Linked DNA regions of Callithrix jacchus. The protein of the gene in region 2 interacts with the protein of the main gene of each other region in a biochemical or structural test. Links are inferred from orthologs where the notes say so. Each region holds a gene or a part of one and is shown on either strand. Other genes may lie near its edges. The genes, in order: CARM1, CREBBP, FOXO1, SREBF1, MYB, KAT2B and SMAD3.

What was found.
Region 1: of the proteins of CREBBP (region 2) and CARM1, one has a biochemical effect on the other in vitro, tested with the Homo sapiens proteins (4 studies listed by BioGRID, with this or other methods). The link is inferred for Callithrix jacchus from reciprocal best matches to the Homo sapiens genes CREBBP and CARM1.
Region 3: the proteins of CREBBP (region 2) and FOXO1 form a complex in vitro, tested with the Homo sapiens proteins (3 studies listed by BioGRID, with this or other methods). The link is inferred for Callithrix jacchus from reciprocal best matches to the Homo sapiens genes CREBBP and FOXO1.
Region 4: the proteins of CREBBP (region 2) and SREBF1 form a complex in vitro, tested with the Homo sapiens proteins (5 studies listed by BioGRID, with this or other methods). The link is inferred for Callithrix jacchus from reciprocal best matches to the Homo sapiens genes CREBBP and SREBF1.
Region 5: the proteins of CREBBP (region 2) and MYB form a complex in vitro, tested with the Homo sapiens proteins (6 studies listed by BioGRID, with this or other methods). The link is inferred for Callithrix jacchus from reciprocal best matches to the Homo sapiens genes CREBBP and MYB.
Region 6: the proteins of CREBBP (region 2) and KAT2B form a complex in vitro, tested with the Homo sapiens proteins (4 studies listed by BioGRID). The link is inferred for Callithrix jacchus from reciprocal best matches to the Homo sapiens genes CREBBP and KAT2B.
Region 7: the proteins of CREBBP (region 2) and SMAD3 form a complex in vitro, tested with the Homo sapiens proteins (3 studies listed by BioGRID, with this or other methods). The link is inferred for Callithrix jacchus from reciprocal best matches to the Homo sapiens genes CREBBP and SMAD3.

The regions. Positions count from the first base shown.
Region 1 is NC_133523.1:10,039,725-10,043,927, reverse strand, and holds the start of CARM1 (histone-arginine methyltransferase CARM1), read right to left. Parts: upstream 2,885-4,203; 5' UTR 2,774-2,884; coding exon 2,551-2,773; intron 2,111-2,550; exon of another isoform or gene 1,913-2,110; coding exon of another isoform or gene 1,891-1,912; intron 1-1,890. UniProt on the Homo sapiens protein: Methylates (mono- and asymmetric dimethylation) the guanidino nitrogens of arginyl residues in several proteins involved in DNA packaging, transcription regulation, pre-mRNA splicing, and mRNA stability.
Region 2 is NC_133513.1:5,997,239-6,001,505, reverse strand, and holds the start of CREBBP (CREB-binding protein), read left to right. Parts: upstream 1-1,369; 5' UTR 1,370-1,499; coding exon 1,500-1,584; intron 1,585-4,267. UniProt on the Homo sapiens protein: Acetylates histones, giving a specific tag for transcriptional activation. Mediates acetylation of histone H3 at 'Lys-18' and 'Lys-27' (H3K18ac and H3K27ac, respectively).
Region 3 is NC_133506.1:159,848,040-159,852,120, forward strand, and holds the start of FOXO1 (forkhead box protein O1), read right to left. Parts: upstream 2,816-4,081; 5' UTR 2,384-2,815; coding exon 1,757-2,383; intron 1-1,756. UniProt on the Homo sapiens protein: Transcription factor that is the main target of insulin signaling and regulates metabolic homeostasis in response to oxidative stress.
Region 4 is NC_133506.1:69,313,234-69,317,310, reverse strand, and holds the start of SREBF1 (sterol regulatory element-binding protein 1), read right to left. Parts: upstream 2,909-4,077; 5' UTR 2,742-2,908; coding exon 2,651-2,741; intron 1-2,650.
Region 5 is NC_133505.1:141,913,405-141,917,013, reverse strand, and holds part of MYB (transcriptional activator Myb), read right to left. Parts: intron 2,044-3,609; coding exon 1,809-2,043; intron 542-1,808; coding exon 461-541; intron 14-460; coding exon 1-13. UniProt on the Homo sapiens protein: Transcriptional activator; DNA-binding protein that specifically recognize the sequence 5'-YAAC[GT]G-3'. Plays an important role in the control of proliferation and differentiation of hematopoietic progenitor cells.
Region 6 is NC_133518.1:58,551,607-58,555,929, forward strand, and holds the start of KAT2B (histone acetyltransferase KAT2B), read left to right. Parts: upstream 1-1,414; 5' UTR 1,415-1,489; coding exon 1,490-1,792; intron 1,793-4,323. UniProt on the Homo sapiens protein: Functions as a histone acetyltransferase (HAT) to promote transcriptional activation. Has significant histone acetyltransferase activity with core histones (H3 and H4), and also with nucleosome core particles.
Region 7 is NC_133509.1:14,237,851-14,241,459, reverse strand, and holds part of SMAD3 (mothers against decapentaplegic homolog 3), read right to left. Parts: intron 2,675-3,609; coding exon 2,530-2,674; intron 1-2,529. UniProt on the Homo sapiens protein: Receptor-regulated SMAD (R-SMAD) that is an intracellular signal transducer and transcriptional modulator activated by TGF-beta (transforming growth factor) and activin type 1 receptor kinases.

The DNA.
Region 1 (4,203 bases), on a different chromosome or scaffold from region 2:
TGGCTCACACCTGTAATCGCAGCATGCTGGGAGGAGCTCAGGAGTTAGAGAGGAGCCTGGGCAACACAGTAGCATAGTGAAACCTAGTCTCTAATGATAAAAAGTGTTTCTGTTGCAATTACCTCTCAAAGAGAAGTTCTGTCTTAATAATAAGGAATATTCGAGAATAACAACAAAACAAAAAACACACAAAATGTTACTCCAGGAGTAAGAAAACACGAAAGGGGCAAAGGGGCCGGGCGGGGTGGGTGACTCACGCCTGTAATCCCAGCACTTCCGGAGGCCGAGGCGGGTGGATCACAAGGTCAAGGGATAGAGACCATCCTGGTCAACATGGTGAAACCCCGTCTCTACTAAAAATACAAAAATTAGCTGGGCATGGTGGCGCGCGCCTGTAATCCCAGCTACTCGGGAGGCTGAGGCAGGAGAATTGCCTGAACCCGGGAGGTGGAGGCTGCGGTGAGCCGAGATCGCGCCATTGCACTGCAGCCTGGGTAACAAGAGCGAAACTCCATCTCAAAAAAACAAAAAACAAAAAAAAAACTAAAACTGTTCTAAAAGTTGTGTTTTGTTTTGTTTTTTGAGACGGAGGCTGGCTCTGTCTCCCAGGCTAGAGTGCAATGGCTCAGCTCACTGCAACCTCTGCCTCCCAGGTTCAGGTGATTCTCCTGCCTCTGCCTCCCTAGTAGCTGGGACTACAGGAACGTGCCTCCCTGGCCAGCTAATTTTTGTATTTTTAGTAGAGACAACAGGGTTTCACCATGTTAGTCAGCCAGGTCTCAAACTCCTGACATCAAGTGATCCTTCCACCTTGGCCTCCCAAAGTGTTGACCCACGGTGCCTGGTCCAAAAAAAAAACTTAAAGGTTTATTTAAAAATCATAGCCAGGGCCGGGCACAGTGGCTCACACCTGTAATCCCAGCACTTTAGGAGGCTGAGGCGGGCCGATCATGAGGTCAGAAGTTCAAGACCAGCCTGGCCAGCACAGTGAAACCCCATCTCTACTAAAAAAAAAAAAAAAAAAAAAATACAAAAAATTAGCTGGGCATGGTGGCGAAGGCCTGTAGTCCCAGCTACTCAGGAGGCTGAGGTAGAATTGCTTGAACCCAGGAGGTGGAGGTTGCAGTGAGCCGAGATAGCACCATTGCACTCCAGCCTGGGAGACAGAGTGAGAATCTTTCTCAAAAAACAAAACAAAAAAAAGATAGCCAGCTCTCCTGGAACTCCTTTGAGGATAAGCTCCGGGACCCTAGTTTTAGAAATGCTCCCCCACTTTGTTCTGTTCAGGACAGAACTATCTACCAATTCTTCACCAATGAATAGGTTTTGTTTGTGATCTGGGGTTCTACTGAGCTGAGTGTCTGCCTTGAACTCTGAAAGCCCCCCTGAAATATCCTCCTTCCCCTCTCCTCATCTGGTTCAAGAAGACCCAGGCTCTGCCCCAGCAAAGAGACGGCACCCTTGTGCAGCAGACACGGCTCCTTTAGTCCACGTTCTCAAAGTCGAGGTTCAGGGAAAACCCAGTGTGAACCGACTGCTCCTCGGGATTTCCGTTAATCGGCCCATTCCCAAAGTGGCAAAAAATTCACACGGGACCCAAGCCAGCTAGAGGCCTCCTGAGGGGCTCACCAGGGCATCAGTGCCAGAAGCCCAGAGAGACAAAGCCAAATGACACAGAATAGCAAAATGTGAACCAGGAATCAAAGAGAAGAGATAAGAAGAATAACAAGAAGAATGAACTACAAAGACCGGGGGCGGTGGGGGCGGCAAAAACATTTGTGATTTTCTCCCGCCCCACCATCCCGTGAAATGTCAGTTTTGAAAGCAGCTTCGGAAAATGTAACCAGCGTCTCACATCCCTGGTGAAGGGATGGGAGAGAGCTGTGTTACCTCTTACTTCCAAGCCCGGCATCAGGAAGGGGCCCCGCCAGTTCACGTTTCCACCAGGAGCTCATCCTGCGGCTCCCACCGTCCACGCATGGGTCCTCTCCCCAGGTCCCGAAGTTTCCCTCTCGGGGGTCCTAAACACCATGCCTTTCACAGGGGTGGAACTCGGTCCTCCCGGGCAAGCAAACACTTTCCGACCGTCCTGAGCTGTCCAGGGGTCCCCAGAGAGAATTCCGGGCCGCCCACGCCCCACCCTGCTCCCTGCAGAGGCGGCCACGCCCGCCCCCGAGACGCCCACCTCTCCTGCACCCCAAGCCTCCCTACCCCACGCTTAAGCCCCCCATGCCCAGCTTCCTTCAAATTCCCCTTCCACTCAGGGCCCCCCACTTCCTGCCCACCCTCCCCTCTCAAATCTCAGGCCCCTCACTCCCCATTTCCCGCTTCCCTGCTCACTCCGGGTACCTCGCCCCTCCGGCCACCACGCACGCCCTCTTTTCTCTGTCTGATCTCTGGCACCCGCCCTCCACGCGCCCTCCCTGCCGGCCACGGGCTCGGCCCCTGGGACCCCACGCCAGGGCCCCGGGCCCCTCCCTGCCGGCCCCCGCCCCGAGCCGGCCTCGTGCGCACCCCGGCCCTGCACCCGCCCCGGGGCCCCGCACTCACGGCTGTAGAGGGCGATGCCCGCCGCGTCCGGGCCGGCGCGCACCTCGAGGCGCAGCGCCTGCTGTTCCGCGTGCCGCTGGATCTCGCCGTTCGCGTCGCCGATGGTGAGGAGGCGGGCGCCGGGGAACACGGACACGGCCGCGCAGGGCCCCGCGCCGCCCGGACCCGCCACCCCCGCGCCGCCCGCGCCCGGCCCCACCGCCGCCGTCGCCGCCGCTGCCATCTTAGATCCGGCTCCAGGCCCCGCCGTCGCCGCTGCGCCCGGGCCCAGGTCGCCGCCGCCGCCGCCGCCGCCGCCGCCGTGCAGGCCGAGGCCGAGGCCGAGCCGGGCAGCGCCGCCTGCCGGCCACGCTCCGCCTCGCTGCCGCCGCCGCCACCGCTGCCGCAGCCCGGCCGCGTGGTGCTGCGCCCCCTGCCGGCCACCCTGGGCGCGGGGAGCGAGCGAGCGCGCGAGCGCGCGCCAGGGAGCGGGACCGCCCCGCCCCGCGAGAACGGTCGCCGCTTTGTGAGGTGGCTCCGCCGCCCGGAACAGAGGGGCAGGAGTGTGCGTCGGGGCGGTGCTCGGGCTGGCGGACACGCCCGTCGGAGACCCGGGCCCCGCCCCCAAGCCCGCGCCTCCTTAACGGCCGCGTTGGGTAAGGCGGCGCGGGGGCGCGGAGACGCGGAGACGGAGAGGCTTTGCTCCGTCGCACGGACACGCCCTGAACCCCGCCCTGGACCCCGCCCCGCATGAACGGCCGCCCTTTGTGATGCGGCTTCCCGGCCCCAACCTGGACACGCCCCTGACACCGGGCTCCGCCCCCCGGGCCCGCCCGGCTTTGTGAGGCAGCCCGCAGGGAGGCGGGGCCCGGCCGCTACGATGCCCCGTACCTGCCCGCGCCCTCCCGACCGGACTCGCTTTGTGAGGCGCCCCGCTCTGGGAACGGGCTTGGGGGGGAGGCGTGGTCAGCACTCGGGGCACGCCCCCACTCTGTGGCCCCGCCTCCTGGTCTCCCCGACATCGACCGTTTCCGAAGGGCCTCCGCCTCCTAGCGCAATCTAAGCCTGGTTGAAAGGACCTCTTCCCGTCTTTCGACCGCCCCTCCTTCCTTCCTTATCATCTCTGCCCCCCACACTCCCTTCTTCATCCTTAAAGTTTTTTTATTTTTTTTATTAAAAAAAATTTTTTTTTTAAATAAAGACGGGGTTTCACCATGTTGGTCAGGCTGGTGTTGAATCCCGACCTCAGGTGATCCGCCAGCCTTCGCCTCCAAAGTGTTGGATTACAGGCGTGATTCCCACCATGCCCGGCCCATCCTTAAAGTTTAACTCCTTTCGCACAAGATATCCTTGACCCCCTCCTCTCTGAGCCGTTCCTCCAAAGATGCTAAGTCCAGCCCAGCCCGGCGCTGGCACCCTCTCCCGCAACACAAACCCCTGTGTCTCTCTGCATCCCCCCTCACTTTCGGTGGCCCCATCCCTTTTGGGCCACCTCCCAGCACCCCAGCTTTAACTCTCCCCGAAACCTCATTTACGCCTCCTTCCTTTTTTAAAAAAACAAAGCCTCGCCCTGCGGCCAGGCTGTAGTGCAGTGCTGCGATCTCAGCTCACTGCAACCTCTGCCTCCCGGTTCAATTCCCCTGCCTCAGCCTCCCGAATAGCTGGGGCTACAGG
Region 2 (4,267 bases):
ACTCTCTAGTATCACGAGGTGGGGCGGGATCCGAATTCTGGCCCTGCCACTTTCTGCCTTGGCGACTTTGGAGAAGTTGCTCTGCCCTTCCTGCCTCAGTTTCCCCATCGGCCCACCTCGTCGGCGGACCCGAGGGCGGTCTGTACCTCGCAGGGGCCATTCCACTTCCCTGGCGGCGAGGGCTAGTGGCGTGGCGTGGTCTGGGCTGGGGTCGCCCCCGGCAGTCCCCGCCCGACACCACCGAGGAGGGTCTCCGGGAAGCGCGGAGCTGGGAACAAGCACCGCCGCCCCAGCGAGACGGGCGGGCCCGGGCCGGCGTCGACTCCACACCCCAAGGCCCGATCCATGGCCAGGCCGCTGCTCCTGGAGTCCGCTCGGGCCAGGAACCACGGCAGTCGTCGCCTAGTCGCCGTCAGAACAAAAGCCGCGGCTCAGCCCGTAGCCCCGGCGTCCCGCAGGCCTCGCCCGCGCCCGGCCACCCGCCGCCCCTTGCTCAGCGGCCGCGCCTTCGGCCCTTCCGCCCGAGCACGCTCGGCTCTTTCCGCCGCGGCCGGCGCAGGTGGAGGGGGCGGGGCGGGGGCTGTGCGTGGTGACGCCGCGGGGGGGGGTGACGCACTGGCGTGCCCCGCCCCCACCCCCTCCCCGTTCAGGCTCTGGAAAGAGAAGAAAAAAAACTTTCTTTTTTTTTTAATTGAGGAATCAACAGCCGCCATCTTGTCGCGGACCCGACCGGGGCTTCGAGCGCGATCTACTCGGCCCCGCCGGTCCCGGGCCCCACAACCGCCCGCGTACCCCGCTCCGCCCGGCCGGCCCGCTCCGCCCGGCCCTCGGCGCCCGCCCCGGCGGCCCCGCTCGCCTCTCGGCTCGGCCTCCCGGAGCCCGGCGGCGGCGGCGGCGGCAGCGGCGGCGGCGGCGGCGGCGGAACGGGGGGTGGGGGGGCCGCGGCGGCGGCGGCGGCGACCCCGCTCGGCGCATTGTTTTTCCTCACGGCGGCGGCGGCGGCGGGCCGCGGGTGGGGAGCGGAGCCCGGAGCCCCCTCGTCGTCGGGCCGCGAGCGAATTCATTAAGTGGGGCGCGGGGGGGGGAGCGAGGCGGCGGCGGCACCACCATGTTCCCGGGGACTGCCTGAGCCGCTCGGCCGGGCGCCGTCGCTGCCAGCCGGCCCCGGGGGGGCAGCCGGGCCGCCGGGGCGTCCCCGCCGCGGAGTGTCGCGCTCGGGAGGCGGGCAGGGGATGAGGGGGCCGCGGCCGGCGGCGGCGGCGGCGGCGGCGGCGGCCGGGGGCGGGCGGTGAGCGCTGCGGGGCGCTGTTGCTGTGGCTGAGATTTGGCCGCCGCCTCCCCCACCCGGCCTGCGCCCTCCCTCTCCCTCGGCGCCCGCCCGCCGGCTCACGGCCGGCGCTCGCTCCTCTCCCTCGCAGCCGGCCGGGCCCCCGACCCCCGCCCGGGCCCTCGCCTGCCCGGCCGCCCGCTCCCGGGGCTGTTTTCGCGAGCAGGTGAAAATGGCCGAGAACTTGCTGGACGGACCTCCTAACCCCAAACGAGCCAAACTCAGCTCGCCCGGCTTCTCGGCGAATGACAGCACAGGTGAGGAGGGGGTCCGGGGCAGCGGGATCCCGGGGCGCGCTGTCACCCCCATCCGGAAGAGAGTGCCCAGGGGTCGTGGTCGCGGAGACCGACCGAGCCGGGAGCCCGGAGCAGGTCCGGCAGCCGGTTCCTCTCGCCCCGCGCCGGAGGGTGGAAGTTCGTCGCAGGACTGTCACTGGGCCCAGATGGGGCAGCACATGCACGATGCACTCGGCCTACCCGCCCCTGATCAGCCCTCCTCGCGGGGACGTGAGTGGCACTCCAGAAGAGAAGAAGTAAAGTGCAGCGTGTGGGTTTGTTTGGGAATGCCCTACGCACCCTTCCACGGCCGTCCACACGCGTGGCTGTCCAGAGGAATGACAGCGGAGGGTACATTTGATGCTTAGAGAAAGCAAGATCGCGGCCAGAGGTAGCGCGATGTGTTTTCTTGATTGGCGACACATTGACCAGGCTGCAGTCAGAGGACGCAGAGCAGCCGCCAGCTTTGAGTTAGACTGAAGTTAGGAATGAGTGAGTTCCTTGGAAGGATGCTTAGTGCTTATTTTCAAAACTTTTTTTTTTTTTTTGTCAACTAGGCATTTAGTGTTTCGTTTCCATGTATAACTTCAAAAGAAAGTGAAACGGCAGATTTTAAGTTCATTTCGGCTGCAGTCACCGTTTGAGTTTGTGTTGTTTTCACCGTGTACATGTACAAAAAATTAAGGAATGTAGGAATTCCAATTTTTCTAAAAAATATACCAGGATACGGAATAAATCACCTTTTTTGTTTGTTTCCTCTAATTAAACAGCTTCCCTGGAAAGTTTCTTGAGTAATCATAGCTGTTTAAGAGTAGTACTTTAGTTTTCTATTCATTCAGTAATTCTGGGTCCTCCTGCGCTGGTTCATGGTAACATGAACTAGTTGTATTTCCTCTTTGAGAGCTCTTTCCTTTGTGGCAAAAACTTGTGTGCCGCTGCGAACAATTCTGTCTCCAGCGCAGCTTGCATTTCTCCAGTAGTCTTGCAGTGGCAGCGTCTGAAAGTCAGTTTCTAATGAATGAGTCCAAATTGAATTACATTGCTGCCTTCAGATTTGCACTAGACACAGCTGTTCAACTCGTGGAAATATTTCTGTGACCGACCACTAGCATATTCAGAAATCTGCTTCTGCTGTTGAAACAAAACTTGAATTTTGTGGCTTAAGCTTGACTACAATTCCTGGAATCAAGTTTTGATAAGCGACATTTAATATTAATGTAGAAGTGAAAAACTATTTTTAAAAATCACGAGGAGAGAACTTATCAAGTTAAAATTCCTTAAACAGTGGGGAGAAGTAAACGATGCTCGAGGTATATAAAAATCACTAATAATGCTTTTCTTTTTAGCTGATTAAAAGTTGAGTTTGACATTAATCTTATAAAATGAACTTATTGAAGTGAGAAATCTGTAAACAAAATAGTTTTAAGTCCCTTAAAGAACAATAGTTTAAGAGATCTTTGCTGCAAAACAGATCTCCGTTTCTTCATTAACTTTGCTGTGTTTGAGTGAAGAACCTTCACTTCTGTGAGACGTAGGTAGGTCATACAAGGCAAGTTCAGTTGTGAAGGCTGTCTGCTGAGACTGGTAACCTGGGTGGCTTTGTGGCTCTGCTATTGTTGAATGAATTTGTTGTAGATTTTGTGTTAAAAAGGAGGACAGTTAGTAACACAAGCGTTAACAAAAAGCTTTGTCCTGTGTACATCCAGCTGTTTCCAAGATGGAGCCCAAAGGATAGGTTTTTTGATAGTTTCCGTTATTGGATGGCCAGATGCTTAATAAATAACAAAATTGTTTACTTAGTAAAGAACAAAGTTGATCAGAAAGGATTTTCCACACTTACTCACCCTTTCCCCCTTCCTTTCCAATTTTGATCCTTGCAAGGCTCAGGAGCTCTTTTGTGGAAACAAAAGTCAGTTTGAGATGGTCCAATTTAGTCCAAAATAGAAAATCAGCATCATACTTAAGCTGGGTCCTGGGTTACCGTTCATCACCATCACACTATTGTGAAAGGGGCTGTTCGTGTGGAGGATCAAGGAATGAATCCTTATCAACCACATTAAACAAGGGGCCAAGCACCATGGCTCATGTGTGTAATCTCAGCACTTTGGGAGGTGGACGTGGGCGGATCACTTGAGGCCAGGACTTCCAGACCAGCCTGGCCAGCATGACAAAACTCTTTCTTTATTAAAAATACAAAAATTAGCCAGCCAGGCATAGTGAGTGGCAGGTGTCTGTAATCCCAGCTACTTGGGAGGCTGAGGCATGAGAATCGCTTGAACCTGGGAGGCAGAGGTTGCAGTGAGCCGAGATCTTGCTGCTGCACTCTCCCTGGGTGATAGAGTGAGCCTGTCTCCAAAAAAAAAAAAAACGGGATGACCATGTCTGGTTTAACTACTAATCTAAGAAATCAAGTAATGAGATGGTTGGAGATCTGAGGGATGTATATTAAACAGATAAATGCCTGCAGTCGTCTTAAGGACTGGAGGCATTTGGTCATGTGGGACAGACCAGAGAATAACATTTTTGAGGGACTCAATCTTTTTATCGAGGGGATGTGTCTCCCAGGCTCCCAGGGGAAAATTCGGCCTAGTGGAGCAGGTATGTGCCCAATGCCTATGATCCCATTTGAGGGAGGGGACCTCTGGGAGCTGAGGGGTTGAAAGGA
Region 3 (4,081 bases), on a different chromosome or scaffold from region 2:
AAAATGCATCTTGAACTCCTCCAGGAGCTTCAATACGGTGTGAGTAACTTAACCTTTTTGACACGCTTTAACCACAGGGACGACACTATGTAAAATAACCTTGGTTTAACAACTGCGCAGCAAACACCAATCTTTATTATGCTATACAGTCGACAAGAGAGGCGAGGAAAGTTTGTTTTAAAAGGTGTTTAGCTCGGCCGGGCGCAGTGGCTCACGCCTGTTATCCCCAACATTTTGGGAGGCCGAGGTGGGCGGATCACGAAGTCAGGAGATCGAGACCATTCTGGTCAACATGGTAAAACGCCGTCTCTACTAAAAATACAAAAATTAGCTGGGCGTGGTGGTTCCTGCCTGTAATCCCGGCTACTCGGAAGGCTGAGGCAGAGAATCGCGTGAACCAGGGAGTCGGAGGTTGCAGTGAGCCAAGATCGCACCACTGCACTCCAGCCTGGCGACAGAGCGAGACTCCGTCTCAAAAAACAGTGTTTACTCAACTAGTCAGCCTTTACAGCAGTTCTGCCACCGGTGACAGTGAGAAACTGTCAGCTTGGGGAGGCCGCGCGGCGACTGGACCTCGCCCCCGGGAAGCCTCCCCGGACCTAGCCGAGGCCCTCCTCGGAGTCGGTAAGTGCCTGCCCCCACGCTGAAGTGCCTCCTGGCCACGTTCTGAAAGGCAAAAATCCTCCTTCCAGGCTCCGCTCCCTCAACGCGCACCGCCACTCCGACTCCGTCAAAACACTGGTCGCAAAGCCCCTCGTCTGGCCCCCAGCTCCCCCATCTGGACCTCCCCGCTCAAGAATAGGGTAGAGCAAGGCAGGAAAAGACGCACACATCCCAGCCCCCGGCACCCCAGGGCAGCCTCTGTGTTTCTAACTAAAAGCCTCGTACCAGGGGCAAGACCAGATTCGGGCGCTTCCCCCATGGGGAAGCGCGGGCCCCAAGGCGCCCGACCCGGACGCGCTGGCCCTTTAAAGGCACTAGCTTCCTGCGCCCAGAGCCCCTCCCTCGTCACCGCCCGCGCCCGCCCCCGCCGAGGGTCACACTTGAACTTTAGCTCGCCCCGCGCGGCCGGGCGCCGGCGCTCCGCAGGCGGTGGCCGCCCCTTCGCACGTGTCGGAGGCGCCACCTCGGGATCGGGACGCCCGGCCCCCTGAACTCGAGGCCACTCCGGAGAAAACCAAAACAAAGCAAAATGCGCACCGCCTCCCGAAACTGCGTGGCCGGACTTACACCGTCCCCAGCCGATCGCGCTCTGCCAGTCCCCTCCACCTGCAGCCCCGTCCCGGGGCAGGGAGGCTCCGGGGACCCTTTCCGTGCCCTCCCCCGCCGCGCCCGGCGGAAACAGCCTCGCGGCGCGGCGGGAGAGGACCCGCCCTCGCCCCGCGGAGGTCAAGGAGGGAAGGGGCAGCCGAAGCAGTCAGCGCGGGCCGTGGGGGTGCCGCTCCCAGCGAACCCCTTTCTCCTTTCACTGGCAAACTTTTCGGCCGCTCTGACGTCCACTTCTTGACGCACGTTCTTTACTTAGTTCCCCAACGAACCCCTGTCCGCGTCCCACGCGGACTCTGGCGCGCGCGCACACCTACTGCGGTCCCGGACGGACCCGGGCGAGCCCACTGCGACCACCGATTCGCGCCCGCCCTCCTAGGCACGCGCTGCCCTCCTGCCCCGCACCCTCGGGCCGAGCAAACCTGCACAGCTGCGCCCTCGCCTGCCCCACCGCGCCCCCAAGGTCCGGCCGCGCGCCGAGGCCGCTCACCTTCCAGCCCGCGGAGCTGTTGCTGTCACCCTTATCCTTGAAGTAGGGCACGCTCTTGACCATCCACTCGTAGATCTGCGACAGCGTGAGCCGCTTCTCCGCCGAACTCTCGATGGCCTTGGTGATGAGGTCAGCGTAGGACAGGTTGCCCCACGCGTTGCGGCGGGACGAGCTGCTCTTGCGCGGCTGTCCCGCGAGCGGCCCGGCGGCGGCGGGGGGCACTGGTGGGTGCTGCGGCAGCGGCCCGGGCGGCGGGGGCTGCGGCGGCGCTGGGTGCAGGCAGCCCGCCTCCGGGCCCTGGAAGTCCCCGCACAGTCCCCCGGCGGCGGCCACGGCAGCCGCCGCCACCGCCGCCGCCACGGAGCCGGGCGCCTGCGGGAAGTCCTCGTTCTCCTCCAGCAGGCTCAGGTTGCTCATGAACTCAGCGCTGACAGCGGCCGCCGAGGCCGAGGGCAGGCCCGCCGCGGCGTCGGGATTGGCAGCCGCGCCGCCCGACGGCGCCGGGCTGGAGGTGGCCGAACTGGACTGGCTAAACTCCGGCCTGGGCAGCGGCCAGGTGCACGAGCGCGGCCGGGGCAGCGGCTCGAAGTCCGGGTCGATCTCCACCACCTGGGGCGCTTCGGCCATGGTGACCCCCGCCCCTCCCCCAGCCGCGAGAGAGCCGAGAGGGGAAGAGCGCAGCACCGGGGGCAGAGGGCGAGGGGGCGCGAAGAGACGGTCCGGGATTTGGGGGGACGAAGCCGGTGCGCCGAGCGGACGGACACTGGGAGGAAGGCGCGGCGGGGTGCAGGCGCGAGCCCAGAACTTAACTTCGCGGGGCCATCCACATCCAGGCTCCTCGGGGTCTGCCGCACGGACTGGACGGCGGGCCGGAGCCGCCGAGCCGGGGCACAGCCTGCGCCGCGCTCCCGCTGACAGGGCCGCGGACGGAAGGACGGACGGACGCCGCGGCCGCTCGCTTTGCCCGGCGGCGCGCCCGCTGCGCTGCTGCCTGTTGAATGTGGCGGCGGCGGCGGCGGCGGCTGCAGCAACTACGAGGCCGCCCGACTTACGGGATCTGCCGCCGCCCCCCGCCCGCGGCGACGCGCGCGCCGGCCCGCCCCTGACCGACAGTTCGCGCAGCCAATGGGCACGCGGCACCGCCGCCCGGGCAGCCAGTGCGCTCCGGGCTGGGCGGGGCCCGGTTTTCCGCCGGGAGGCGGCAGTGGGCTGGTGGGGGTAGCGGGGTGTTTTTCTCTTTCACACACCTTTTTTATTTTTTTTGGATCTCTGTTATTTTCTGGTAATTCTCGAGTGTTTCTGTGATTCTCTCGCCTTCTCAGTGTTTTGATTGCTAGGAAGCAAACCAGCGTGGAGGTGGCGGCGACACTTTGTTTACTACGGAGCTGCAGAGCCGAGTACTCTGGAAGCCCGGGTGGGACGAGGCGCTCGCTACGCCCTGACCTCGGCTGCGGGCCGAGTCCCGCGAGCGGGCAGGGCCGGGGGCCGGGGGCGCGGGGTGGACGGGCGGAGGCGGCCGCGCAGAATTCTACCCAGTAGCTCCCTCCTGGCTCCACCCACGAAGTCTTTGCTGAGCAACGTGGGGAATCGCTGGGTTTTGTTTTGGTTGAATGTTTTCTTTCGCTGCGATCTGTCAAGTCCTCCGGCCCCCGCACGGGCGGCACGCGCCCCCCGCCCCAGGCGCCGCGGCCCCCCGCGGTGGAGTCCGCGCCTAGGGTGCCTTCTCCGCGCCCCGCGCCCACCTGTCCGCACCCCCGGGCTCAGCCTGTGCCTTTCTGTCTAGCTGCGGACGCGTCGCCCAGCCGAGCAGCCCCCAGCCGGATTTACTGTATCCTTGACCTTTTTTAAAGGGCTAAACGTGAGGAACTGGGACTCCGGCGCCCGGAGGAGGTACTCCGGTCTCAGTGCAGACAGGGATCCAAAGGCACCCGCAACCGCCTGCCCTCCGTGGGAACTTCTTCCCCTGGGCGGGAACTTCCAGCTTCGTCCACTGAGTTCAGGGCCCGCAGCGAAGGGCTTAGGAACGCAGTTATCGAGAACCAAGACACTTTACTACCTACCCCTAATTAAATTTAACTGTTTGTTATTTTATATTTACAACGGAAGTGATCGGGTGTTAAGTAAAAACGGCGGGGGGGGGCGGGGGATAGGACCAAAGCCTTGGGGCGCAGCCTGCCCCACCCCCAAGTTCTTGAGGCTACTTGCTGTGTGCGTCAGTCAAACCCCCACCCACACCCCATCTTTCCTCATCTGGGCTGCAGGTCCAGGACATCCTGTCAAGGATCAGTGGGGCCAAAGGTAGGAAGATAATGGCCCTTGTGTCTC
Region 4 (4,077 bases), on a different chromosome or scaffold from region 2:
AGAGAGAGAGAGAGACAGAGAAGAAAAGCTCTTTCACATAATTAGCAGGGCTTATCTCTGGGTGATAGCTTTAAAGTTTTATTTGAGACAGAATCTCACTGTCACCCAGGCTGCGTGCAGTGGCGCAGTTACAGCTCACTGCAGCTCCAGCTTCAAGCAGTCCTCCCACTTCAGCCTCCAGCATGGCTGAGACTACAAACATGTGTTACCCACACCCAGCTAATTTTTTTATTTTTGTAGAGACAGGATCTTGTCATGTGGCCGAGGCTGGTCTCAAATTTCTGGATAAAAGTAGTCCTCCTGCTTCAACCTCCTAAAGTGCTGGGATTATAGGCGTGAGCCACCACACCTGGTCTAAAGGTTTTAGTTTCTTCTTTTTGCTCACTTGCACTTGCTAATTGTTCTACAATGAAAAAAGATGTGTAATTGGGGCTGGGCACGGTGGCTCACACCTGTAATTCCAGCACTTTGGGAGACCGAGGTGGGTGGATCACGAGGTTAAGAGATCGAGACCATCCTGGTCAACATGGTGAAATCCCAGCTCTACTAAAAATACAAAAAATTAGCTGGGCATGGTGGCACATGCCTGTAATATCAGCTACTTGGGAGGCTGAGGCAGGAAAATTGCCTGAACCCAGGAGGCGGAGGTTGCAGTGAGCCAAGATCGCGTCATTGCACTCCAGCCTGGGTAACAAGAGTGAAACTCCGACTCAAAAAACAAAACAAAACAAATAATAAAAAAAAAATATGTTTAATTGGAAAGAACAGGAAGTTTGAATAAAAACTGAAAAATCCTCTACTGAACTGGGTAAAGCTGGGCCTGCCTAGTGAGAAGGGGCTGCCGAATCTTCAAGGCACTGGGGCTCTCTCACAGACTAGAACTTGGGCCACATGGCTGCCCATGCCTGGCCTTTGGATCTGGAGAGACAGTGTTTTTATCCATGAGTCAGTAAGAAAGGTCTGTATCAGACCTGTGGCCCAGACCGGATTCTGCTGTCCAGCTGCCCATGAAGGGAGGGTTTGTATCCTCATTCTTCTGGAGGTGGAAACTAAGGTTCAGAGAGTGAGAGGGCTTGAGCAGGATGGCAGAGGAAGTGAGGAGCATCCAGGTTCAAGTTCTGACCCCAAAGCCCATGTCCGGCTGGCTTGGTCCTGCTGCCTCTTGGACTACCCTCACTGGGCCCTGTGCTATGGAACTAGTTAAGTCAGGCCTAGATCTCCCTAGGGCTTGGGATTTCAGGGTCCACCTTTCCAGGATGCAGTGAAGGACAACCCCTCCTGCCAGGTGTAGGGGAGGCTGTTTTGGAAAAGCCTCAAAATCAGGGCCTCTCCTCTTGGGTCCTCCCCTAGCCAAGCCCCAGAGGGAAGGAGGAAGGGCTGGGAAGCTCCTGGAGCTGGCAGCCAGCTGAGCTCATCTGCAAGGCTGCAGTAGGGCAGGAGTGGGGGTGGCATAGATACATCTGTTTTGCCAGCCCCAGGGTGGCCACAGGTTCCACGGACATGTCCATTCAGGTTGTGAGTCTAGGCATCTTCTTCCTGCAACCTCGTCCTCAGTTTCCTCATCAACCAAGTGCAACTTAGCCCATGTTGCTAAAGCTCCTGCACGGAAACCATGGAGGAAATTTGCTGGGACTTTCCTTTGCTGTCTGCAAAATGGAAGCAACGGGCCTCCTAACTGGCACTTAGTGCCACCGTTGGCCCCAAACCCCGTCCCCTGACAGCCAGTGTGGTGCTCCAAAGATGGAAGCAGGTGCCGCGGTCCTGCTCCGCCCCTTCCCTGGCCGAGTAAGGCTGCTGGCGTCCTCTCCCTCCGCAACCTTTACGAGCCTTTAACTCCTCACACTTAGGCCCTGCCTCGGGGCCTTCGCCCTTCCCTCGCCCTGGCCTGGAAAACATCTTTCCCTGCTAGTCCTGGGGGTGGCCCTCAGGTCTCAGCTCAGAAGTCCCTGACGCTCTACCCAAAGTAGCCACCTACCTGCCCTCCCCTCGCCCCGCTCCACCCAACGTGCAACTAAATATCTATTTGCTGGTTTCCCGGGGGATGGTGTTCCCGAAAAGAGCGGGTGCCCAGGACTGTCTGTGATCCCTCGGTGCTTAAGACGGGGCCTGGCATTCGGTTAGTGAATGAGTGCGGAGGCGATGCCGGTAGAAGACCGGGGAAACCCGACCCGTGGCCGGGCAAGTGGGCGAGCAGCGCCCGTGCGCTTGCGCACGAGCTCCGACGCCCAGCTGAACTCTCGGGCCGGAGGGAATGACCGTGAGTAACCTCTCATTGACGTCACGGCTGGGGCTGGGGCGGGGCTTCGACGACGCCCGGGTCCCCAGCTCCAGCCGCGGCCGCCACAGGGCTGGAGACTCACCCACCGGTCGGGCGGTACCCGGCCTGGGACGCGTAGAGGCGCACGTGTCCCGGCCCGGAGCCGCCAAGGGACACCGGCCCGGCCCGGGAGTCCTCGCCGAGCGCGCGGCTCGAAACGCCAGGGCGGGAGCCAGGAAGGCTCGGCGAGGCCCGGGACACCGAGGTCCACGGCGCGCAGCTCAGCACGAAGCTGGCGCCCGGGGAGGGGGGAGACAAAGGCCAGGGAGCCACCTGCGCGCCCCCCACTCGCGCCACCCGGCGCGGCTTCAAGCCCTGCCCACCCTGACGCACCTTCGATGTCGGTCAGCAGCGCCGCGTCCAGATCGCACGGCTCGCTCAACGCCTGCTCCAAAACCGCCTCGCTGAAGGGCAGCTCGTCCATGGCGCAGCCGCCTCCTCCGGGAGGCCCGCCGGGCCCGCCGCCGCGCACGGCCCTTCTGAGGGACTGCCGCCGGTCCCGGCTCGCAGCTTCCGCCGCCGCTCCACGCGTTCGTGTCCTGCCCTGGCCTCGCAGGAGGTCCGGCGCCCGCGAAAAGTTCCTCGGAAACTGGGTTCCCGCGGCAGCGGCTCCGCTGGGCGGTGAAGGAGGAGGCGGGGCCTTTCGGGGGAGGCCCCGCCCTCCCAGATAGACGGCCCCGCCCCACCTTGAGAGAGCGGGTACCCCTGATCCCCAGTCTGCGCCACAAATCTGCCCTCAGCGGGCCCCTCCTCCAGAGCGCCCTCCAGTCATTCATTTTGTCCAGCCTCGCGCACCGTGGCAGAGCGGCCTCTGGCCGGCTGCTGCGGGAACGCGGGTAAACCAAGTCCTCTCTCTGGGCCTCGGTTTCTCCAGCACCAAGCAAGGAGCTGAGTGGAAGCCCCAGGCCTGGGCCCATCACAAACCAAAGCTTCCTCACTTCCTAGATTTCACTCTTGAGAACAACACAGACCAGGACCCAAGTTACAGGGGTCCCAGGTTTGCTGTGTTGTGAGCAGACCTGATGTAACTGCTGGGCCAGTTACATCACTCAGCTTCAGTTTCCCTCATTTGTAACGTGGGCCTCATGATGCTTCCTCACCGGCAGGCTGGGAGGCTAGTGACGATGTGGAGATCAGCCTGCCCTCTCTCCAAAGAAACCAGAAGATTGGCCACCTGAAGACAGGAGTGACTGAAGAAAGAGGCTGGAATTTCCTATCGTCGTCATCTGGTTTCGTCCCAGATCCAGCCCTAGGGATAGGACCCCAGCAGGCCCAGTGCCGCTCCTGACAGAGGAAGCGGGTACCCAAGGACGGCTGGCCCCAGGGCTGTCTGATCCCAAATTTGGTGCTTGTTCCTGGGAGTGGCCAAGACAGGGGCCACAAGGAAGAGTTGGCTGAGCTTTAGCTCAGAGCCAGGCTGCCCTGGACCATGACAGCTGGGACTAGGTCAGAGCAGACAGCCCTGATGAGAAGAGAGAAACCAAACCCAGTTCTGTGGCCTAGGGACAGAGCCAGGTGGAGCGGGAAGGAGGGAAGGGGTCCCAATGAGGTGGGTTGAAATAAACCAGAATTAACATTCAGTTATCTGAATGTGATAAGACAGTGAGCTCCCTGTCCCCAGAGGTATGCAAGCAGACAGAAGCACCCTTGGTGGAGGGCAGCCAAGGAAACTCACCAGGGCCTGGTCCTCAGGCCCTCTGGACCCTGGGCTTTAATGAGTCAAGCCATCCTGCAGACTGCCTTGCTCAGACTCCAGATAT
Region 5 (3,609 bases), on a different chromosome or scaffold from region 2:
CATTATAGTGTCTCTGAAATTACAAGATAAGGGAAATAAAGACAAAGGTCTGATTGGAAGCTACAAATACAATGGGTGTAGCCTATATGGTCATGAGGTACCAAAGACAGCCCAAAGAGACTCAGTGTGACACCAACACCCACCAAATTTGGCTCCTATGGAAATCTCTATAAACGTTACTTCAGACTTAAGGGAGTGATGTGAAATCTCAGGCTAGAGTGGATGCTGACTGAGTTATTTCATCTTGTAACATCAAAGAATCAGAAAATTCCAGAGCAAACTCAGTCTAGAAGACAAGCTTGGTAGATGGCTAGCCGAGACTCTGCTCTCCTCTCCACATTCCCTTTCCTTTTAAGTTCAGTTGCTCAGGTGAAAATATGTGTTTAGATGAAAGAAATAAAGCATTTCTTAAAAGTGGTGCTTTGAATAGTAAATGAGTTTCTTTATAAAATGATCATACCTGAATGGCAGCGGCAGCTGGCTGAGGGACATTGACTATATTTACATGTAACGCTACAGGGTATGGAACATGACTGGAGACCTAGATGGGAAAGAGAGACAAAGGCCACGTCATTCAGGGTTACATATGCTTCAGGGGACTTGGCTTCCTGAGGTTTTGTTCTGGGACTGAAATACACTAAACAATTTTTAAAAACCTTTTACTGTGAAATTTAGCCAGGCCTTTAAAATGGTTAAATAGCTAAAGCAACATAGTAAAAAAATTTAAAGTGCTTATAGATCCTTGGGAAATGTTGATGAGCACTTTAAATTTTGGGAAGTTACTGGCACTTTAATTTCCTTAATTAGAGAAAAACACAATGAAAAAATAAAAAATATAATCTAAATACATGAATGAATGTTTGAAAATAGTTTCTATGGGAAAAACTAATGGCACCAGCTGTGTGTAAATAAAAATATTTTTCTTGGAATAATTATGAATTTTAATAAAAAGCACAGAACTTCTTATGATAATGTATTCATCTGAGACCTTTCTGTAAAGTTTGTAGTCAAATGCATGAACAGAGAAGAATAAAAACTATTTATGAACATGTTTTGCATAGAATTTGCATATAAGCCTACCCATTCTTGGGTAAGTTTCATCATTTATTATTGTTAGTCTTAAGATTAAAGCTTCTCGATTTCTTTTCCTCTTTTTCTTTTCCCACCTATTATGGATTATCTCTTTCTCTAAATAAAAACATCTAGAAATAAGGAAGGGATCACACTGATCCAAAGGAGACTAAGAGGAGGCATCAGAAAATGAATGTCACAAAGTTCTGCTCCTGACTTAGAATAAGAGGGTAAACACTTACTGAGTGAATAAATCAAGACATGTCTGCTAGATCATTACCAGAACTGAATATACCATAACCACTGAATTTCACTGTCAAACTCTTTAAATATATCTTTAAATATATCTTTCCTTTTGGTTTTGGTAGAGAAAAGTGTTACATCTACAAATGCAACTCCATTCCCTTATTCTTCAACCGTACCTTAAGTACATTTACATTCAAAGGTTACCTTCAAATTAGATTTGAAGCAGCAAGTTAGAATTCTAGTCAACACTATCTCTATGTCACCCTGAGCAAAGCACTTACCATCTTCATTTCTGAAGACATAAACCAGTGATAACAAACAATATCTACACCCTATCTACCTCATGATCATGCCCAGGAAAGTTGAAGACGACTGGCCATGATCATGCCCAGGAAGGTTCTCTGAACAGTATACAACTGCAAAATATGATTACTACCTGGAGCTAAATTAACCATCTCTCTCATTAAACCAGATTCTCAAGAATGGCTTACATTTTGTGCTTCAGAAATGTGGTAATAGGAATAGTCATTGTTAACGGAGGGCTGGCCAGTTGCAGGGAGTTGAGCTGTAGGTGGAGCCTGAGCAAAACCCATCAAATGACTGTTCTTCTGGAAGCTTGTGGCCACTGCTGGCTGGCTGGCTTTTGAAGAGTCCTGCAGATAACCTTCCTGTTCGACCTTCCGACGCATTGTAGAATTCCAGTGGTTCTTGATAGCATTATCAGTTCTGCACAGAAATATATCACATACAAATTTCACAAACAAAAAATTTCAATTCAGATTAAAGTGAATTGACAGAAAACTGTTTCTAACACAGACCTTTCCCTTGGGCCCAGTCATAGTTTTCCCCCTTTTTAATGGTTTTCTTCTTCTCCACCCCCTAAGATCAGGCTTTCTCTATTGCCTTGTTAGAAATCCATAGATTTCTCTTAGTTACACAATCTGGAATGCACATCGTTTTCTAGAAATGTCAGTATCTTTTAACCATTTCATTTCCTTGGTAAAGGAGTATTTTCAATACAATGACGCTTCATAATTATTCTGACCGTTTGTGGTACAAGACTCTAACACAATGTGAAGTTCCAGCTGCTTTGAAGAAATTCCTTCTTTGAATGCAGCACAGCAGGGCCTACACACCACAATAGGGACACGGTGAAGTTTGGTGGGTGATAAGATGCTGCTGATGAAGAATACTTCACTCTTTATCTCTCGAAGGACTAGCAAGAACTTTTGAGACCAAAAAACCTCCTACCCTTTAAAAACCACCCCAATTGTTATTCCAATCAGACAGAGATGAGGGTGGAAAATGGCATTCCCAAGGGAAAGATCCTAACCCCCGCAGTATAGTTTCAAACAGCAACGCCTTTTTACTAAAGTCTTTCCATTCTCAGGAAAAACAGTTTCTCAATTCAAAAAAACCGTTTAAGCCTCCCTTTTACTATTTCAATGGGGGTGGGGGAATGCATGCTAAAGAAAGAGGAAGTTCGATAGCCTTGTTAATTTTGAGAAGAATCAGCAGTGTATCCTCTGAGGCCATATGGGAATGAAGACCTCTTTTTACCAACCTCTTGAATTTTCTAAGTTTATACTGAACCACGAGGGTGCAAATGCATTGGAGCATCACTGGAGAATACTACATAAACTTTCTCCTGGATTATGAAGCTCAAGAATAAAACTATTTTTAATATTTTCTATCTGTATCATTTTTATGCAAAATTTATCATTAAAAGTACTGCTTTCCAGAGTAACAAAATCTGTTATATACTATTTAAGTGGGAAAATGGGACAAAAATGAGCTTCCATAGTTATCTCTCATAATGAGGTCATTTCTTTGCCTTGTTCATTAAAAAGAAAGCATTATTATATTGACATTTAAAATCCTTGAAGTAGTATGAGAATTCGAGAAATACCTTATTTCTTTAATCAATGGAGTAAAAAATTAAGCAAAGTGGTATAATAAAATGAATATTGGTGGCCAGGTACAGTGGCCCATGCCTATAATCTCAGCACTTTGGGAGGCAAAAGGATTGCTTGAGGCCAGGAGTTTGAGACCAGCCAGGGCAACACAGTAAGATCAACTCTACAAAAGTGTTTTAAAATCAGTTGGGTGTAGTGGCGTGCACCTGTAGGCCTAGCTACTCAAGAGGCTGAGGTGAAAGGATCCCTTGAGCCCAGGAGTTCAAGGATGTATTGAGCTATGCTCATGCCCCTGCACTCCAGCCTGTGTGACAGAAGAAGCCTCTGTCTCTTAAAAAAAAAAAAATTAAAGAAATGAACAAGGCCGGGTGCCGTG
Region 6 (4,323 bases), on a different chromosome or scaffold from region 2:
GGGACTGTTTTGAAGGAAAAACACAACCCTTAAGGCGTCTGGCTGGGGAGCTATACAGCATGGGTAGAGTCTGATAATAAGCACATTATGACCCACATTACATACAACAAAAAGTAGGGCACTTCTGAAGGGTCCTGGGAAACAGCCTGGGCTTTTAAAACCTGCTTTAGGAAGGCGACCAACGGTACACCATTTCAAACGCAGCACTGACATCTATGCTCCAGTCATCAACAGTGAAAACAATAGTTTTCAACAAGAGTTGAAAACACTGAGTTGAGGTTGTCTTTTTTTTTTCTTTTGAAAGTTTGAAGCCAAAATCAATATTTATTCTTTTGAATGATGCTTAATTTTTTTTTCCTGGTTAATATGCACGCTGATGGTACAATTTTGAAAACTACGAAACGTTATAGAACCACCACCCAGAGACGAATCCTGTTAACAAACTTTTTGTATTTAAACTTTTTCCACTGCACATAGTTTTTATTTTGACAATGATTTTAGGCAATCGTTCTTTGAGCAACCAGCACTTTCAAACAAAAATTACAGAGAATATTAAGTTTTTCCCCCCCCTCTGGCAGATTTGGCCCAGAAATTGCTATGGGAAGAAAGTGTTAATTATGTTAAAACACAGTTTGACAGAAAGTGTTTAAAAAGAGAAAGGGAGAACATCACGCCTTTATTTTGATGAATTAGCAACAAAGAAAAGGATTAGCATGGACGGGTACTTTTCAAAAATGTATTTTTTTTTTCCTCTGGCTCCCGCTAGGGTGGAGGAAGTTGTCTCTCCGCTCAGAGACAGGGTGGAAGAGAGTGGAAGGACAAATGACTGAGAGGCTGCCCCCTCACACTGGCGCGGGCGTGCGGGGTCGGATGGGGGGCTGCGGAGGGGGGAGGTGGCCAGCAGGTGCCTGGGCTCCAGGCCCCTACCCCCACCCTCGTCCCCACCCTCACCCACACCCAGGGATTGGCCTCGCCCCCTGGCGGGCGAGCCGTAGGTGTCGAGGCACCCGGGTGGGGGGTGCAAACCCCGCGGGCAGCGGAAAAGAGGCCGTGGGGGGCCTCCCGGCTCCGGCACACTAGGAGGCTGGCGGCCGCCGGCACGCACACCCAGTCCGCAGCCCCGAGGAACATGTCCGCGGCCAGGGCGCCGAGCAGAGTCCCGGGCAGGAGAACCGAGGGAGGGCGTGTGCTGTGGCGGCGGTGGCGGCAGCGGAGCCGCTAGTCCCCTCCCTCCTGGGGGAGCAGCTGCCGCCGCTGCCGTCGCCGCCGCCACAGCCGCCACCACCATCAGCGCGCGGGCCCCGGCCGGAGCGAGCCGGGCAAGCGGCGCGCGCGGGGGAGGGCGGGGGCGGGGAGGGGGGTGGGCGAAGGGGGCGGGAGGGCGTGGGGGGAGGGTCTCGCTCTCCCGACGACCAGAGCCCGAGAGGGAGACCCTGGCGGCGGCGGCGGCGCCTGACACTCGGCGCCTCCTGCCGTGCTCCGGGGCGGCATGTCCGAGGCTGGCGGGGCCGGGCCGGGCGGCTGCGGGGCAGGAGCCGGGGCAGGGGCCGGGCCCGGGGCGCTGCCCCCCCCGCCTGCGGCGCTGCCGCCCGCGCCCCCGCAGGGCTCCCCCTGCGCTGCTGCCGCCGGGGGCTCGGGCGCCTGCGGTCCGGCTACGGCAGTGGCTGCAGCGGGCACGGCCGAAGGACCGGGAGGCGGTGGCTCGGCCCGAATCGCCGTGAAGAAGGCGCAACTACGCTCCGCTCCACGGGCCAAGAAACTGGAGAAACTCGGAGTGTACTCCGCCTGCAAGGTACGCGCGGGCTGCTCTCGGACCGCGGATGGTGCTAGGGGCCCAGCCCGCGGGACCCCCTCCCCCTCCCTCCTTCACCCCCGCCTCCCGCCTCCTGCCTCTCGCCTCCCGCCTGGGGCCGCTGCACCGCGGAAGTGCTCTTGTCGCCCGCGCCCAATTAGCTTCTTCTTGGATAAGAGTCCTGCTGGGTTTGAAGAAGGGGGATCGCTAAGACCGAGAGCCCTTCGTTCCTTCAGCTTGAAAAGAGTGGCTTCGGCTTCCGAGCTCCCGGGCTACCCTGGGGTTTTGTTGCTCTGTAGGAGCTCGCTGGAGTCACTTTGCCGGGAGTGGAACGGTGCTCTCCATGTGGCGGGAGACCCCGGGGCAAAGAAAAATCTTTTGGCGCACTGAGTGGTCCCTTCTGCAGTCGATCTCCTCCCTTGTCCCATTGGGAGGAACTGGGTACAAGGAGTGGGGGTGAAGACTCGCGGACTCTTGGCGCTTTGGGAAAGCGAAGGGGAGGAAGGCGCGGGGCGGGAAGGTGGGCAGAGCTCGAGGCGAGGGTCTCTTGGAGCCTGGCGCCCTCGGCTGGGGGCGGAGGCACTGCCGGGCGCAGTGACAGCCCTGTCATTATTGTATTATTACTTGTTTAGTTAAAACGCTGTCCCAGCTGCTCGAGGTGTAAACAGGATTTGGCAAGGTGACAGCCCAGCACAGCGGGCACTACTGCCCAGTGTGAGGACACCTATTTCTTGCTATCCACTCTCCATGCCAGTTTAGGAACCCCGTCACCCCCAGCTGCAGATCCAGATGTGGAGGCTGTGCTCCCGAGGTGGGAGCAATGCCCGAGGCCGCGGGGCAGGCTGGCCCTGCGCTGTCAGCAGCGGCTTTGTTTTGACAGGGTGACAGCTGAGGGGGGCGGGGACTTGGCCTTGTCAGCTCCTGCGGCCTGTGGCTGAGGCAGGGAAGAGACACACTCACACACACACACACCTCCCATGTGTTCTTCCTGCCTGCTGCAAGCAGGGTCAGGTTGCCCGGTTCCAGATTCCTGATTCCCACAACCAAGCTGCAGGGGCCACTTCTGAATTGTGACATAACTATAATTTATCCTACTAGAACATCTCGGTTAGACTCTTTTTAGTACTTACAGGAGCTTCTCAGTCGCAATGGAATGTCTGTGCTTGCTCTTTTTCCACACCATATCCTCATGTTTATATTGAGCACCTCTGTGTCCTATACTGGTTCAATAAATATTTGTTGAGTGAATGTAGGATCTAGCCCACTGCTCCTCAAACGTTAATGTGGATAGGAATCTCCTGGGGAAACTGGTTAAAATGCTGATTCTGAACCAGCTGGTCTGAGGTGGAAGCTGAGGGTCTGCATTTCTGACCAACTCCTAAGTGATACTACGCTAGTCCACAGACCACGTTCCAGTTCAGAACTGGGCAGTATATTATTTGGCTCTTTGAATTCAGTAGAAAAGACAGAAACAAATAATAATGCCATGTGGTTATTTCTGAAGAAGGAATGCAAAGAAGATGAAGTTGGGAGTGTGCTTCTAAGAAAGGCACAAGCCCAGGAGTTGATGATGAAGGGCGTTAGACTGATGAGAACAGGACACTGACTGTGGCAGGCAGAAGGGAGAGCTGTGTATAGAATTAAGAACAAGGTCATGGGTATAGGGCGTACTGCTTGGGTGATAGGTACACCAAAATCTAACAGATCACCACTAAAGAACTTACTCATGTAACTAAACAACCACCTCTTCCCCAAAACCTATGAAAACACAGAAGAAGGTCAATTTCTTGGTGGCCTTGGTGTTTTGCAGCCGAAGTGGGCTCGTGTAGGAACTGTGTCAACTCAGTGTTTCTGTACTGGCTTTATTTAATTATTTTTGAAATGGAGATTCGCCCTTATTGCCCGGGCTGGACTTCAGTGGCGTGAACTTGGCTCACTGCAACCTCTGCCTCCCAGGTTCAAGCGTTTCTCCTGCCTCAGCCTCCCAAGCAGCTTGGGATTACAGGCATGCGCCACCATGCCTGGCTAATTTTTTGTATTTTAATAGAGATGGAGTTTCTCCATGTTGGTCAGGGTGGTCTCAAACTCCTGACCTCAGGTGACCTGCCCGCCTTGGCCTCCCAAAGTGCTGGGATTATAGACGTGAGCCACTGTGCCCGGCCTGTCCTGGCTTTATTTTTAATTTTATTTATTGGGTTCTCCTCACTAGCACCTGTTAAAGATTTCCTGCTGCCTGCTGTACCTTTAATATCTGAAAACTTTCCTGAAATTTTGGTTTTATCTAAAACCATGAGCATATGTGCCCTGCATTGATACCTGTGATCTTTTCAAATTTCCATGGGTGAGATGTAGCACCACTTCCAAAGTTTGAGATTTGAGTGTTTTCTGGTCACTTTTATGACCCAACTTATAGTAAGAGAAAATTTCTTTTATTTTTAAAAAAATTCTTTTTCTTTTGAGACAGGGTCTCACTCTGCAGCCCAGGCTGGAGTGCAGTGGCATGACTGTGCCTTACTGCAGACTCAATCTCC
Region 7 (3,609 bases), on a different chromosome or scaffold from region 2:
AATAAAGGAGACCTCCAGCCTAAGCAGAGGACTCCCTGGCTCCCATCTGTACCACATGGGCTCGTGCCACTCCCCTATCTCCAAATCCAGGCCCAGCCCCAGCAGGCCGTGATGACGTGTGTCTGTCTGATTGAGGGGTGTTTTTTACAAAGTGCCAACAGTGTCCGCATGCCTTTGGTTCCCAATGTGCTGATATAATTCTCATCTACAGCCTTATTTTGGAAAATCTTACAAGCAGAGTGAGCCATGGAACAATTACTGGAAAAAACCAAGGCACACCACACGTTTCTTTTCGCCAAAGCACTTTGTCTAAATTCAGGCTTGTTGATGACGCAGCATGCAGGCAGGCTCCCAAAGGCCTCCACTGAGCAAAGGCTATCTGCTGAGGCTGGAGTCACTGGTGCCAGCTGGAGGTGAGAGGTGTGGGCCTTGGGCCCTGCTTTCGGCCACCTCACAGAGAGAAGGGCTGAAATCTTACTCTCCTTGGCCCAACAGGCAGAACGACAACAAGGCTGTTCTGGGAAGGGGCCGTGCCTGCCCGTTGGGCTGCTGTGCAGTGCTGCCAGGCAGCAGTGACGCGGTGGGCCTCAGAGGACTGGGTGTGCTGGCAGGACATCCCGCGTGGTGATACAGTGTCCCCAGGGACAGGCTCCACCACCAAAGAGCCTCTCCTAGCACTTACAGCGCTGCGATGCCGTACCACGAACAGGGCTGCTGTCTGGAGGGCATCACCCTCCTTGCTTGGCCTATGCTTTGCTTGTACAGAGGGGAGGTTCAGAAATGGGCCTGTACATCCTGGGGAATCTGCATCAGCAAGGGTACCTGAGTGTGGCCCTCTGGACTACAGCCTGGTGTAAGAAGAGCAAATGGATGTCCCCTTGCTCTTTTCCACTGCAGTCCATCTTTAAAGATGTCCCTTCTCCACTAAAAAAAAGATTCACTCCCGTTCCCTAAATGTTCTAAGCCAGGGCTAAAAGGTTTTAAAACATTTCTCCAGTTGGACCTTTGGACCTGGGCTAATCTCTTCAGGCCATACCATGGTTGTAAGTTCTTCTGAGGTCTGACCACTGTGATTGCTCAATTGGTCACTCCTGGATTTCAGAGACACTCCAGAGACCAAGGGGCTATGTTCCCTGACACCCTGGGGCAGACGCAGAAGAACAGCAGCTAAAATACGGTAAGTGGAAGAGGAGGATTTTACAGGATGAAATCCTCTAATGAGAATCTGACTTTCCATAAGTCATTCTCATCTGGATTTCATTACAAACGGTGGCCCGAGGCCAACACTGAAATGGGTTTGGCCTGGGTGCAGCATGACTGCAAAACAAAATGGATTCCAAACATCTGGAAAAATGAGAAGGGGAGAATAGCTTGCAAGGCGCTGGCTCCAGCTGACGTGTGGGCACCTCTGTGTCTGCCACGGGAGCTGGCTGGGGGCTGGCAGGGGGGAGTGTGGAGCAGAAGGCGGGGACACACAGCCCTGCCTCTCAGCAAACTCCTGTCCATGAGTGGAAAGAAAAGGGATGTGATTCTCTAAATCCAAAGCAGAATGGCCTGAGAGATTCAACCAAGCAGACCAAGTAGACCTGAACTCCTATCAGGGCCATGTTTAAACCAAAATCTAGGGCTGGGCATGGGGGTTCCTGCCTGTCATCCCATCACTTTGGGAGGCTGAGGCAGGTGGATCTCCTGAGCTCAGGAGTTTGAGGCCACCCTAGGCAACGCGGTGAAACTCCCTCTCTACTAAAACAACAAAAAATTAGCTGGATATGGTGGTGTGCTCCTGTAATCCCAACTACTCGGGAGGCTGAGGCAGGAGACTCACTTGAGTCCCAGAGGTAGAGATTGCAGTGAGCCGAGATTGCGTCATTGCACTTCAGCTTGGGTGACAGAGTGAGACTCCATCTCAAAAAAGAAAAGAAACCAGTATCTAGAATTCTAAAAAAGTCATTTCTCAGCAAGGAAATTTTGTTCCTTTATCACTACCCAAATCACCTCCCTTCCCTGCCTCTCAGTTTTAATATCCTGGGCTCCTCAGCATCACCACGGTCCCTGAGTCAGAAGTGGAGCCACGGAGGAGAAAAGGAACGATGAGCTGAAGACCTAATGTCCTGAAGAGGGTCATTCTAAAACATCAACCCAAAATGAAGAATAAGGAAGAAGCCAAGAGGGCAGAGTTCTAGACACAGCTCTTCTACCCGGGTGACTTCAGGCAAGTCACGTTTCCTCCCTGGGCCTTAGCTCTCATGTGTACAGGGGGATGATGCCAGTGTCCCCACCCAGGGCTGGGACGAGGGTAAGATGGAGCGTGTGTTTACAATGCCTGCAGCTGTTCGGTTCCATCAAGCATTACTCTGTGCTGCTGCCCCAGCCCCTCCTGCCTGCTAGGCCATGACTTCTCTCTGATCTTTGATCTCTACTATGGACCCCAGGGATGGCCTGGCTCACCTCTGAGGAGTCCCTGGCTGCTCTGCTGTCCCAAGTCACCTGGAGTTAGGTCCCCTGATGTTGGCAGCACCCATAACTGACCTGTACTCTGCTCCCCAGCCTTTGACGAAGCTCATGCGGATGGTGCACATGCGGGTCAACTGGTAGACAGCCTCGAAGCCCTGGTTGACGGATTGGGCCAGGAGGGCAGCGAACTCCTGGTTGTTGAAGATCTTCAGGTTGCATCCTGCCAACAACACAGAAACAGGACTGGGGGGTAGAAAAAGCCAGGTCCATTGCTCCTGTCCTGCATAAAGCAAGCCCTGGATCCCCCAGACCAGCCTGACTGATGCAGCTCCGGGGACACACGGTGTGTGATGCATTTCCCATACACTCCACAGTAGTACCACTCGAGAGACAGGCTGACTTGATCCTCCCCTTGAACCCACCTCCTCACCAGGAGGTGCACAGCTGACATATCTGCAAGGGGAGATGGAAGACTGGCCCATAAGTTCTGACTCCCAGAGTGGAGAGAATTCTCCAAGTGGGCCTCTGAGAATAGGGAGATGGTGTGGAGAGACAAGGGACCTGGGCCAGGGTGCCCATGCTGTGTGGGGTCTGGTTGCCCACCTAGGAACAGGAGCTCTGGCTGTTCCATAGCAGGCAGTGCCAGCAGGGACAGGCTGGCCGAAAGGCTACTGGGCCTGCTGTCCCATGGGAAGCTCAGCAGAGGGCCCAGGATAACTTCCACCTGGGCTCCTCTGATGAATACACCTGGTACTGGGGCTAGGCGGGAAGGCAAGATCTGGGCCACATTTTGGCCTCTGGCACCAGGCTGGGTGGAGGTGACATTCACAGCTAAGTGAAGGTGTGCATCTAATTCTCCAGACAGTCAAACTAAAGACAGTCACAAAGTTTAAAATAAATGTCGTTTGAAGTCATACTGCCTGAGTGCCAGGAATGTGTGAACCCAAAAAATAAAGACAAAAGCACATGCCGGAAATAGCCAAAAGGTGAGCTGGGGTGACGCTTATGAATGAGCCAACAGCAGTCTCCTGTTCTTGCTGTGTGACTCTGAGCTGGTCACATTCTCTTGGGGACCCTGTGTCTCTGTATAATGAGGGGCTGGCCTCAGAGGTCCTTCCAGCTCTGACATTCTATGAGCTGACAAACAACACCAGA